Coturnix japonica: one gene and its partners. The protein of the gene in region 1 interacts with the protein of each later gene in a biochemical or structural test. Links are inferred from orthologs where the notes say so. Each region holds a gene or a part of one and is shown in the gene's direction. Other genes may lie near its edges. The genes, in order: FLT4, LRRK1 and VEGFD.

Region 1 (3,647 bases):
GCCAGGCTGCGTGCCCAGTCTTAGACAAATCTTGCTGGAAAGAGAGATGAGAAAGCTTTTAGGATCGTGTCTATATACACTTGGAATTTAAAGGGAGAAGATAATAGGGTGAAGTAGTAAAAGCCAGGATGGTTTTGTGAGTCTGATTTCCACTTATGGATAAATGGTGTGCTAGCAGGTCATCTGAGCCCATGGAGCAGTCATCTCGCAGCACAGGGCTGTCTGCCAGATAGCAGCACCAAACCTACTTTTCCCTTTTGCCCTTCCTAACATCTGCTGCTCTCTTTCCCCACCAGACAGTCAGCAAGTTGGCCATCCAGGAGGCCAATGTCTCAGCCATGTACAAATGTATTGCCTCTAACAAAGTGGGTCGAGATGAGCGGCTGATCTACTTCTATGTGACAAGTAAGTACTGGGGACATCCCCTCTGCCAGCGTCACCTGGGCTCTTTGCCTGAACCTAGCAGCCCCTAGATTTGCCAGGTGCCATCATTCGCACTTAGTGCCTTAAACAGTGACCAGGAAGCCATCAGGAAAGCAGGGTTGCCCTAGATTTCTGCTGAGTGACAAAAGCTTGGAGTTCTGGCAGCAAATCGTGCAGACAGACCTGAAGATAAGCTGGTGTGTCTGTGGAAGGTCCTGCTGGCCCAGGCAGCGTGCTGGGCTGGGGACGTGTCTGGTCCAAGAGCATCCTCTAGTGGCACCGCCAGCCCTGCTCCCAGGCAGGGTCCTGGCCCCAGCCCTTGGCATGGCCCCTGCTGGATTTTGGTGGTGGGAGAAAGCCAGGTTTGTAGAAGCCAAAGCCCGGCAGGGTGAGCTGAGAACAACCACTTTCAGACCTCCTAGACTTGTTCCACTTGTGACCCATCTTAATTTGACTCCGAGGCTTCAGCACAGCCCTTAGCATCAGCTCAGCTGCAGCTGTCAGTTGCTCGCAGCCTGCATGTTAAAGGCTCCAGGGTGGTTTCCATTTACCCCTGGCTGAGGACAGTGAGTTCTCAGAGAGCTGAGCCCAAGGAGTCAATTTAATTGTATCCAGCAGCTAAGCCAAGAAAACTCATCCACGTGTTCATTTCCTTCCCAAAAGCCATTCCAGATGGATTTGAGATCGAATCCCAGCCCTCAGAAGAGCCCATAGAGGGGCAGGACCTACAGCTGAGCTGCAATGCGGACAACTACACCTACGAGAATCTGCAGTGGTATCGCCTGAACCTTTCCAAGCTCCACGATGAGGAGGGCAACCCCCTGGTTCTGGACTGCAAGAACGTCCACCACTACGCAACCAAGATGCAGGGCGAGCTGCGCTTTCAGCCCGACTCCAATGATGCCACCTTGCTGCTGACCATCCCCAACATCTCCCTGGGCGAGGAGGGAGACTACGTGTGTGAGGTGCAGAACAGGAAGACCCGGGAGAAACACTGCCACAAGAAATACATCTCTGTGCAGGGTGAGGGTCAGCAGGGCAGGTGGGAGTGACTTGCTGCTGGTACTCTTGCTGCAGTCAGCTTCCCAGTCCATTCCTGGGGGAAGCCATGCAAGCTAAACTCGAGGTGGCAAAGGCACCTGGGTCCCAAGACACCCTCCAATAATGGGTTATAGACACAAAGTCCCCCACGAATGCAGATATTCTTTTGATCAATCCGTTTTGTGCTGCTCCTCCAGCCCTGGAGATCCCCCGCCTCAAGCAGAACCTGACAGACATTTGGGTGAACGTCAGCGATTCCATAGAGATGCGTTGTAAGGTGGATGGCAACCACGTTCCTGACATCAGCTGGTACAAAGATGAGAAACTGGTGGAAGAAGTGTCAGGTACATTGGGCTGGGGATGGAACAAAGGCAAGGTACCATGTCTGGTGAAAAGAGAGCTGAATCCTGTTTTTAATCATGTTCTGCCCTGGTTTGATGTGCTCTCAGTGGACAAGTCTGTGCCCTAGGGTCTGGATCAACGTTGTGTGCACATGTACATTCAGGTGGGCAGCAAAGAGAGCTGAATCCTTTTTCTTCTTGCACTCAGCTCAGTGCCGGGCATCTCTGCTAATGCAGGGATTGACTCAGATCCCATGGAAGGAATGTGGGAAGGATCTAGGCATATGGCAGAGGGAAAGGAATAGGTCCTGGAGGCAGAGCAGAGCTTGGTACACCAGCTGGAGCACCCAGGCACTGTTCCCAGTCCAACCTTGTCTGTCGGGTTTTGTTCCATACACTGCCTAAGGAAGGCCCTTCCAGTGTAGTTCTGGAGCCATAAGCCACAGAGGAGAGCTGGTGCAATTTAATTCTGCCATCTAAAATGAAGTGGCCAAAAAATAGAAGCCTTATTTTTTGCCTGAACGAGTTAAATCCCCTTTCCTTATTGAATGACCTCCATAACCTTCCTTGCCTTACAGGAATTGATCTGGCAGACTTCAACCAGAGGCTGAGCATTCAGAGAGTGAGGGAGGAGGATGCTGGGCTCTACCTGTGCAGCGTCTGCAACGCTAAGGGCTGCGTGAACTCCTCAGCTAGCGTCTCTGTAGAAGGTACCAGCAGACACAACACACCCTAGGGATGAGAGCATCCAAGTAGGGGTGTGTCAGAGGTCCCGTGCCTCTTCCCTGTGATGCCAGGCTGCAGGGTGGCAGGGAAAGCACTGAGAGCATCTGTAGTCCAGAGCATAATTTGATTGGAGCATGTCAACACACAGCTCCTTGGTCTCCCCACATCATGGAGCAGATCCCAAGAAACAGCCAAGCCTTTTCTCAAACTGCACTTTTCCCCCCACCCCACAGGCTCTGATGACAAGACCAACGTGGAGATTGTCATCCTGATTGGGACTGGGGTCATCGCTGTTTTCTTCTGGATCCTCCTTATCCTCATCTTCTGTAACATCAAAAGGGTACGTGGTTGTCTTCATTCTGGGGAAGAAGAGGGGGCTCAGATGGGCTTGGGGCAGCCCCATTGCTGTGGTGTGGGGCTATGTGACAGTGTCTGCTGAAAGAAGGTCGCTGAGTAGTGCTCCAAGCACCCTGACTGTCAACCAAGGATGGGGCACGTAGTAAAGATGGGGACATGGAACAGCCTTTGCCAGGGGAAAGCGGGTTGAAGGAGGCAAAGGAGGCATCTTCTCATGCACTGTGTTGGGTGATTCCTGCAGCCTGCCCATGCAGACATCAAGACCGGCTACCTGTCCATCATCATGGATCCTGACGAAGTGCCCTTAGATGAGCACTGCGAGCGCCTGCCCTATGATGCCAGCAAGTGGGAATTCCCACGAGACCGCCTGCGCCTGGGTGAGCTGAACCCCATCCCTGCCCCCACGTGCTGCATGCAGAGCTTCCCACCAGCCCCTGGAACTCACCCTCCAGATTTCTTACACAATCAGGGCAAAACAGCCCAATTCATAGGAGATATCCTGAGTTCAGGACTGGGATAGGATGTCCTCGTGCTGTGACATCCATCTGCAATCTCTTCCCTCTGTCTGGGAGAGGTGTAAGGGCTGCAGACCTCCTCTGAGACACAGAGCAGTGACATTAGCCCTGTCTGTTCTGCTGCAAGGTGTCTTATTTACCTTTTCCACTTGTTCTGTTTGAGGGCAACAAACAGCCTCTCACCACATTAGGACCATTTCCTTCCTCCACTTTGTCCATGCCAGCTCTCAGTTCCTCCCTTCAT
Region 2 (4,182 bases), on another chromosome or scaffold:
AAAAACCAACAAAACTATATTTATAAATTAGGATACAGTTAATCTAATGTATTTTTATAGCCAAGGGTACATGAAAATGCTATGTTTAAACTTCTTGTATATATTTTAGACTATGGGTATCTTTTTTGTCATAGTTCCTAATAAATGTTGAACTTTGTGAAATAGTTTCTGTGTGCTGCATATCGATGTGGCTCCAAGGAAGGAATGGGAATGGGAAACTTCTATTGCCTGCACACTGGAAGGGGTTAAGGCTTCATGCAGAACATGCTGCCAGACGGGGCTTCGTGAAACCCTCTTAGACACAGCCACTGTTGTATGACTGCCCCATGATGAGACATTCCTGTCTTATCTCCTTTATCTGCAGAGGAGACAGAGCAAGAACATAGCACCGTTTTTAACGCTCTTTGCATAGAATGGCCTGGGTAGAACAGGACCTTAAAGATCATGTAGTTCCAACCCCTCTGCCACAGGCAGGGTCACCAACCACTAAACCAGGTGAGAAGAGATACAAACAGCCACCACCTCCCTACACACACACAGCCAAATCCCATCCATTTTCCACTCTGCAGCAGCATCACTCGGGAGCTCTGCAGCCGAATGTGAGAAGGGAGAAGCACGGAGATACAGAGGGACAGAGTGATGTAAGCAATGGAGTTATGAGTAAAGTCAGGAGGAAGAGCAGGATGAGATTTGGAAAAGGAAAAAAAAAAAGATGAAGAAATTCGTGCTAAGGGAAATTGTGGCCTCTCTCAAAACAAACTGTGATCTGAGATTTTATTCTTATTCCAAACAATGGTGCCAAAAAGAAAAGTATAAGAAGGGCCTGTCTAAGAACCAGAGCGTGAGGCATAAAAGGCAGCAGACGCGATAGAAAGTGCAGAGTGTGTCCAACAGGTGGCTGCAGCCAGATGCAGATTAACGGCCGTCTGAACACCCTTTAAAGCACCTGTGAGGATCCAGCTTCTCTGTGACTCCGTAATCACAGCGAGAAAAGCGCTGCAGAACAAACCTCAGGCAGCAGCAGCTACGGGTGTGGCTTTTTCCATCCTCAAGAGCCCCATCTCTTGATTTAAGTCCAGGGAACGACCTGTGTCGTTGAAGGGAGCGTTATGGATAACATAAGTCACGCCGAAACGCGTTCCCTTCACAAGGTCCGTGGGGTGGGGATGATACAGCCGTATATCGGTACAGGGCGCTGCGGTGGGCAGGGATGCGCGCACCGCTCGTGTTGGTTGCGGCCCGACGGGAGGCAGGGGGCGATGCTGCTGTGTTTATCCGGAGGAGCAGCTCCGGGATCCGGGGAAGGAGCAGCCTTCAGAAAACAGAGCTCGGCTTGGGCCGGGCTTCAGGGCACGGATCCGAGCAGCGAAGCACCCGCGCGGCTGAGAGATGGCGGTGCGGCCCTTGTGCCGTCCAATGTTTGCCGAATAAGAACGCGCAAAACTAAAGCGGTGTAAGCACGAGTAGGGCGAACCGAGGGAGAGGGCGGACACCGAATGATGGACGTGGGGAACGAGCCCGGCACAGGGGCAGCCCCGCGGTCCCCTCTGCGCCCCACGGCGGGGAAGGGCGCTGAGAGGCGCTGCCGACCGGACCGCCCCGAGCAGCCGCCGGGGTTCCAGGCGAGACGCGGCTCCGACCGCGCCCTGACCGCGGCTCCCGGGCGGGCCCAGCCGGGGCCGGTGGTGGAGGAGGCGCCGCGCGGCTGCCCCGCTCCTTTTCCTTTCTTCCTCCCTCCGCCTCCCCCGCCGCACAGCCAGGCGGGCGAAGGAGGAGGAGGTGGCCCCGGAGAGCCGGCAGCCCCGGGACGCAGGAGGTAACAGCTGCCCGTGGCACAGCGCAACCCCGGCTGCGGGGCGGGTGGAAGCGGTGGGGATGGGGGGGGGGAGGGGACTTAAAATGCGGAGAGAAGCGGGGAACGAGCTTCAGAAAGAAAGTTGGGAGCGAAGTTGCGGAGCGAGAGGGGGCGGCGGGCGCTGCGTGTGCTCGGAGGGGGGGGCGGCAGACGGGAGCTGGCTGGGATCGATGGTCCCGTTTCCTGCTCAGTTGGACGCACGAAGCGCCTTCGCTTCTCCCTTTCCGTCGTGCTTTTCCCGTGGGGCTGCACCGTAGCAAAACGCGGTGACGGCGTCCCAGGAGAGAGGCTGGGAATACATGTGATGGCATTGCAGCCCTCCCCCGGCTGTGTGCTCTCGTGCTCTTGCGGAGCTCAGTGGACCCACACGGCACCGTTCTCTCTCCTTACATCAAATCCACACGCGGTATTTGCACGTGTTACAGCTGGGCACGTCTTGGTTAAGGTAGAAGCGCTGTGGGGGTGTTTTTAATAGACACAGAGGCCCTGAAATACGGAAATACAGCGGCGCACTGACAGCTCAACACTCGCTGCCATAGCTGCAGCTAAAGGGAACTAGTGATTGAAATTGTGCTATTGCTTTTCCTTTTGCTGTATATGAAGAGCATATATTCACACCCCCAAGTGAAAGTTTCCTTACTCAGCCCCTTCCAGGTGCTGGGGCTGCATTCTGATGAATGGAGGCCGTGATGCAGGGCTGTGTCTGCACACCTGTGTCCATTTGGAGTTAGGGCTGTAAAATGGTTCAGCTGTGGGGTGGGTGTGCAGGTGCCTCCATGCAGCCCTTCCCTCTTTTCTTGTGATCACCCAAATCAATTTTCCCATCTTTGAGAAGCTCCCAAGCACCAAACTGCAGTATGTGGCTTCGCCCATTGCCCAGCTCTGAGCTGTGCATCCCACTGCCAGGCACCATAAAATAGGGATCAGCAGAAGCCGAGTTTTGCCATAAGTGCACCTAAAACTCAAACCCTTGCCTGGAAACAGCTGATGAAGCATTCAGTGAGGTCTTTTTTTTAACACTTGGTTTGTGGTTAAAGTGCTGTGTGTGCAGTGAGGAAGGAGCGGGCAGCTTTAGGGTGGTGGTGGTGGATCAGTGACCCCATCCCCAGCTCAGGAAGCCACTCACACACCTGGGCCCTGCTTACCAAACCAGGAGGTGCGTCGTGTATTTTGTTCAGTCAGAGCTTCTGGTCCAAACCTCGGCACTGCACAGCAGACGTGAGAAAATCTAATAGGGATCTAATAGGTGAGAAAGGTTGCTGTGTTGAATCTGAGATGCGTTTGCAGACTGAAACTGAAAGCAGAAAATGAAGGAGCGCTGGTGTCAGCTGGGCACCGACTGCAAAGTCAGCCTTTAATCTCTATGGATAAAGAAAAGGGGTTTTGTGTGGGGGAAAAAAAAAAGGGAGAAAATGTTACAGGCGTGTAGACTGGAAGAGGTGAGAAGGTAGAAATGCCCTGGAAGGCACCTGAGCCATATGCAGCCAGCATGAGAGCTCCTAAGCTTGGTTTGCATGCAGGATGCACTTCAAGAAGCTGTTTTGAGAGCACTGGACTTCACTAAAAGAAGAGGGCAGGGAAGCTGTTGTGTCTCTCTGAGCCCTCTTCTTTCTATAGAGGATTCTCAGTGTCGACATCAGCGTTTTCCAGCTTCTCACACCAGAGCTGCAGTCATTGTGGGTGGGAAAGGTTCTGAGGTTGCCTTTAGGATTTTTCCAGCTGCGTCTCATTGTTTCAGCCCTCTGCCTTCACAGGGCTTGTGGGGAATGTGGGGCTGCAACTGTGACCCTTTGCCCACCCCATATATCCTCCACCCAGACACAGCTGCTTTGGTGGAGGAAAACTGGGAGCAGCAGAGGAGATGTTGTTTGTTTCCCATCTTAATTCATGCTACGCTCTTAACGAAGCTATTATGAAAATCGTTGCGTTCATATTTGTGTAGTGTATTTCTTCAAAGCAGCATGTTCTCAGCCGTGTTGGAGTGCATGGGGATGCACTGCTTGCAATATCAATACCGGAATGATTTAATTTGTTTTGCTGTTGATTTCCAATCAGGGTAAACGATGCTCCATCAGGACGGCATTTGGTAGCGGCCGCTCTGCCCTGCATTTAGCTGACGTTCAGCTTTGACCACGCTCAGTTGGAGGCGCTGCAGAAAGTTTGCTCTGTTGGATCCTCACCACTCAGACCCAGAATGTACTGGTGCGTGGGGACGGAGGAATCCGCTGTTTCCAGAGAGAGCAACATGGAGCCACAGAACGGTAATGGGGCAACTTGCTTCTCTACCTGCACAGATGGGGAGCGGGAGGATTCAGGATTAAGGGTTG
Region 3 (3,647 bases), on another chromosome or scaffold:
GTCAGTGGAAGGTAATTATGCAAAAAATGAACTTGGCCAGAATGTACAAGTTAACATCTGTATCATTGCAAAATAAATGCCACAGATGTTTTAATAATGAATAACAGATGTGATTAGTGCCTAGGTTTTAAATCTCATCTAAAAATCTTCCTCTTGTAGGTAATTCTTCCCCTTACCTTTTCTCCAGCCTTATGCAGAAAACTAACTGGCTACTGGTTGGGACTGCAGGCTGCTGCCTACCTCATCACCAGCTTCTGTCTTTCGGCTTTGCCTTTAAGACATGGTGCATTATTTATGAGAGCTGGCAGAGCAGCCCTTAATTTGCAAGTCAAAAAGTACAGTCAACTGCATGAACAGAGAGCACAACTGAGAGCACCAGCCCAGTGCAATGCAGTCATGCACAATGATAACCTTTTGCTTGGGTTGAAGGCAATAGTTTTCTGCAGACTCAGTGAGTCATTGGAAATAAATACAAACTGTCTTAGTAAAGGCATAAACACAAATGCTGGAAGGCAGCAGTCAAATAATCAAGCACTGCTGTGGAGTGCTGTGCATTGTTTACCTTAAAAAGGTAAAGATTAACGACTTTAAACTAATGGAGTAGGCCTCTGTAAGGAATCTTCTACCATGGGACTAAAGAATGGTCATATACATCAAGAAGGCAGAAAATGAGTGACTGAGGTAACAGTGCTGCACAGCCAAACATGGAGACTGGAACTGAGGCCACCTTGTCTGCCCTGCATGGTAGGGTGGGAAATGAAATAGGTACCTTGCACTTTGCAGTTTGTTGAATGTTGTGTTTGCCCACCAGGTGGACAGGCCCTTCTACTCCGGGCAGCTTCTGGCTCTATCAACTTCTCTTGCAGTGATGTTTCCTGATAGACACCCATTTTGGCACCTGAGGTGACTTCAGGTGCCATCAGAAACCGGTAGCTGTTGTTCCAGCTTTTCTTAGCTGCTCTCAGCAATGTGCTGCCTCTTGCGTAAGAGCATCCAGAAGCTCTGTAAAGGTTCTGGATTTTTGATTTCCTCCTTTCCTTCCAGAGGACATCTCTGTCAGCATTGGAGCGGTCAGAGCAGCAGATCAGGAGAGCATCCAGCCTGGAAGAGCTCCTTCGAATAACTCATGCTGAGGACTGGAAGCTGTGGAAATGCAGGCTAAAACTCAAAAGCCTGGCCAATTTAGACTCCCGCTCTGCATCACATCGCTCCACCAGATTTGCTGCTGCTTTCTATGATATCGATACACTGAAAGGTAAGTGCAGGATTGCATTTGAGTCTAGCTCCAGCTTCAGGACCGCTGTATCTTATGCAGTAATGGGTTAAGTACCAGGGGTTTCCTAGAAGACACCTGCACTGGAAACAGCAGGATATTAATGGAAAATGACATTGTATGAAAAAATGTCAGGCAATGGCCTGAGTACATCTCCCTTTTTATGGCCAAATCAGGCTTATTGTACTGTATATTGTCCAAAGAAGAGTTCTGTTATGTATGGATCAATCAGTCCAAGGACAGACAGGAAATAAACATGCAAAGAGTGGTCTGGACTGATGGGCTGAGGGGCTTGCCAGCAGCACTGTGCCAGATCCAGGAATTTACTTGCAGTCAGAAACAAATGAGCTTTAAACAGGCATTGAAATTCCATTTATAATGAAGTGCACTCTGATCTAAGGCACTGCATCGGTACTAGTGTCTGGGTGGAAACTGGAGGGAGGAGCTATTGTCCTAATACTCTTACTCTGTTTGAGGAAATCTCCCTGGAGATAAGAAGTAGGCTTTGAAACTGCCAGTCAGTACCTAAGTCCAGGGAATCACAATCTTTTCCCTCTCTTGAAGCAAAAATGAATGCTGTTCCCTGTAAGTGAGAGAGAAGAAGGCCGTTATATGATCATTGATGTAAAATAAAGGATCAATTGCTCTGCTTCTGTCAAGGAGGTGGATATCCTACAGCAAAGCTACTCTGTAGCCTGGCCAAGTACTGACAAAGCTATTTTTTCTTTCAGTTTTGAATCTGAAGCTATATGACCATATCACTTTCCTTTGGGGAAATCAGATATTGCTGATTCTGTTCCAACATCACTATTGCAATAACCACAGCTATATTTGCACACCATTAGTGTCACTTTCATATCTATTACTTCTACATTTCAGTTAATTTATGGCAAAGCAAAGGCCTTAATTTGCTTCTCTAAGACATGGGACAGAAATACAGAGATGAATGCCAGTCTGAACATGGCTTTCATATGACAGGCATGGCTTTAAACTTCTAATAGAACATTTGTATTGAAAATAAAATAAAATAAAAATACACACATACACAAAAACAAAACAAAAGAGACCCTGCAACAGAAGAAAACAACATCCAATATACAAAGGAAGAACAGTTAAGAGGGCTTTAACTATTGACACGCTTTTCATTTTAACACCTTTACAAGTCTGTACATAAACATTAGGAACCGATGTTGTCAGAAGTAGTACCAATGGTCAAACACAATTTTTCTCTATTCACTGTTGCTCATTTAGTGAGCATCGGTATTTCTGGAGAAAAAAGAAAAAAATAATAATCCTTTTGTCAATACAGTGAAAAAACAAAGGATGTCGTAATAGGCTTTCTTCAGTGGCAGAATAATATAACTGTTTAGGTAATGTCAGACGCCTGTAGGCGTACAGATATAACTCTTTTATAACAACGTGGCACAGCTGTTAGGTCACTTCCTACTTTCTTTTTAAAGATCTAACTTTAGACACAGAGATGTCAGCCTATTGGGTCATCTTCTCCATTCCTTCATCCAAAGTGGAATTACTCCAGAACAGAAACGTCTTTGTTCTAATATCTTAATACATTCAAGGTACTAAAGCTCCTTACAAAAACAGAAAAAAAGCCCAAGAAAACAAAGCAAAGCCTACAAACTCGTAAACGTATATTTCTTTCCCATGCTCTTTCCAGTCAGTAAGCACTGACCCCCTTTGCCAAGGGCATCTGTTTTGTTTTAGTAAAGTGTTATGATGAGATGTCTGGGTCTAGGCTATTCACTGCTTCACTATTAGACCATCTCCCACAGCATCCCAGACTCCAGCCAGGGTGGAAGAGGTCAAAGCACAAGAAAAACTTCCTTCAGTATGTCTGCAGCAAAAAATAGGTTAGGGAAAATGTGGACCTGCTGCTGAAATGAGGTAGGAGCCCTGGTAATGAAGGACACTGAGAATGCCAGGTTATTGAACACCTTCTTTGTTTTGGTCTTTACTGCTAAGACAGGATTCTTGGGGATCCCAGACCTGGGAGATTAGAGAGAGCCTAGGGAAAGGAAGACTTCCTCTTGGTCAAGGAGGATCTGCTCAGGGGTCATTTAGGCAACCTTGATGGACACGAATTCATGGGCCTCAATGGAATGCACTCATGAGAGCTGAGGGAGCTGGCAGAAGTGATTGCCAAGCTGCTCTCTATCATCTTTGAAAGGTCATGGAGAATGGGAGAGAACTGGAGGAGAGCCTGTGACACTGCAGTCTTCAGAAAGGGCAAGGAGGAGGATCTGGTAAACTGCAGGGCAGTCAGTTCACCTCTGGCCCTGGAAGGTGATGGAAAAGCTTATTCTGGATGTCATCTCCAAACAAACAGAAAAAGAAATATTATTAGGAGTACTTAACA

Evidence for each region.
Region 2: the proteins of FLT4 (region 1) and LRRK1 form a complex in vitro, tested with the Homo sapiens proteins (2 studies listed by BioGRID and IntAct, with this or other methods). The link is inferred for Coturnix japonica from reciprocal best matches to the Homo sapiens genes FLT4 and LRRK1.
Region 3: the proteins of FLT4 (region 1) and VEGFD form a complex in vitro, tested with the Homo sapiens proteins (2 studies listed by BioGRID). The link is inferred for Coturnix japonica from reciprocal best matches to the Homo sapiens genes FLT4 and VEGFD.

Annotation. Positions count from the first base shown.
Region 1 is NC_029528.1:4,697,251-4,700,897, reverse strand, and holds part of FLT4 (vascular endothelial growth factor receptor 3), read left to right. Parts: intron 1-296; coding exon 297-405; intron 406-1,086; coding exon 1,087-1,446; intron 1,447-1,661; coding exon 1,662-1,808; intron 1,809-2,383; coding exon 2,384-2,515; intron 2,516-2,764; coding exon 2,765-2,871; intron 2,872-3,129; coding exon 3,130-3,265; intron 3,266-3,647. UniProt on the Homo sapiens protein: Tyrosine-protein kinase that acts as a cell-surface receptor for VEGFC and VEGFD, and plays an essential role in adult lymphangiogenesis and in the development of the vascular network and the cardiovascular system during embryonic development.
Region 2 is NC_029525.1:15,837,411-15,841,592, forward strand, and holds the start of LRRK1 (leucine-rich repeat serine/threonine-protein kinase 1), read left to right. Parts: upstream 1-1,308; 5' UTR 1,309-1,453; intron 1,454-1,635; exon of another isoform or gene 1,636-1,816; intron 1,817-3,910; 5' UTR 3,911-4,049; coding exon 4,050-4,116; intron 4,117-4,182.
Region 3 is NC_029516.1:109,964,670-109,968,316, forward strand, and holds part of VEGFD (vascular endothelial growth factor D), read left to right. Parts: intron 1-1,044; coding exon 1,045-1,255; intron 1,256-3,647. UniProt on the Homo sapiens protein: Growth factor active in angiogenesis, lymphangiogenesis and endothelial cell growth, stimulating their proliferation and migration and also has effects on the permeability of blood vessels.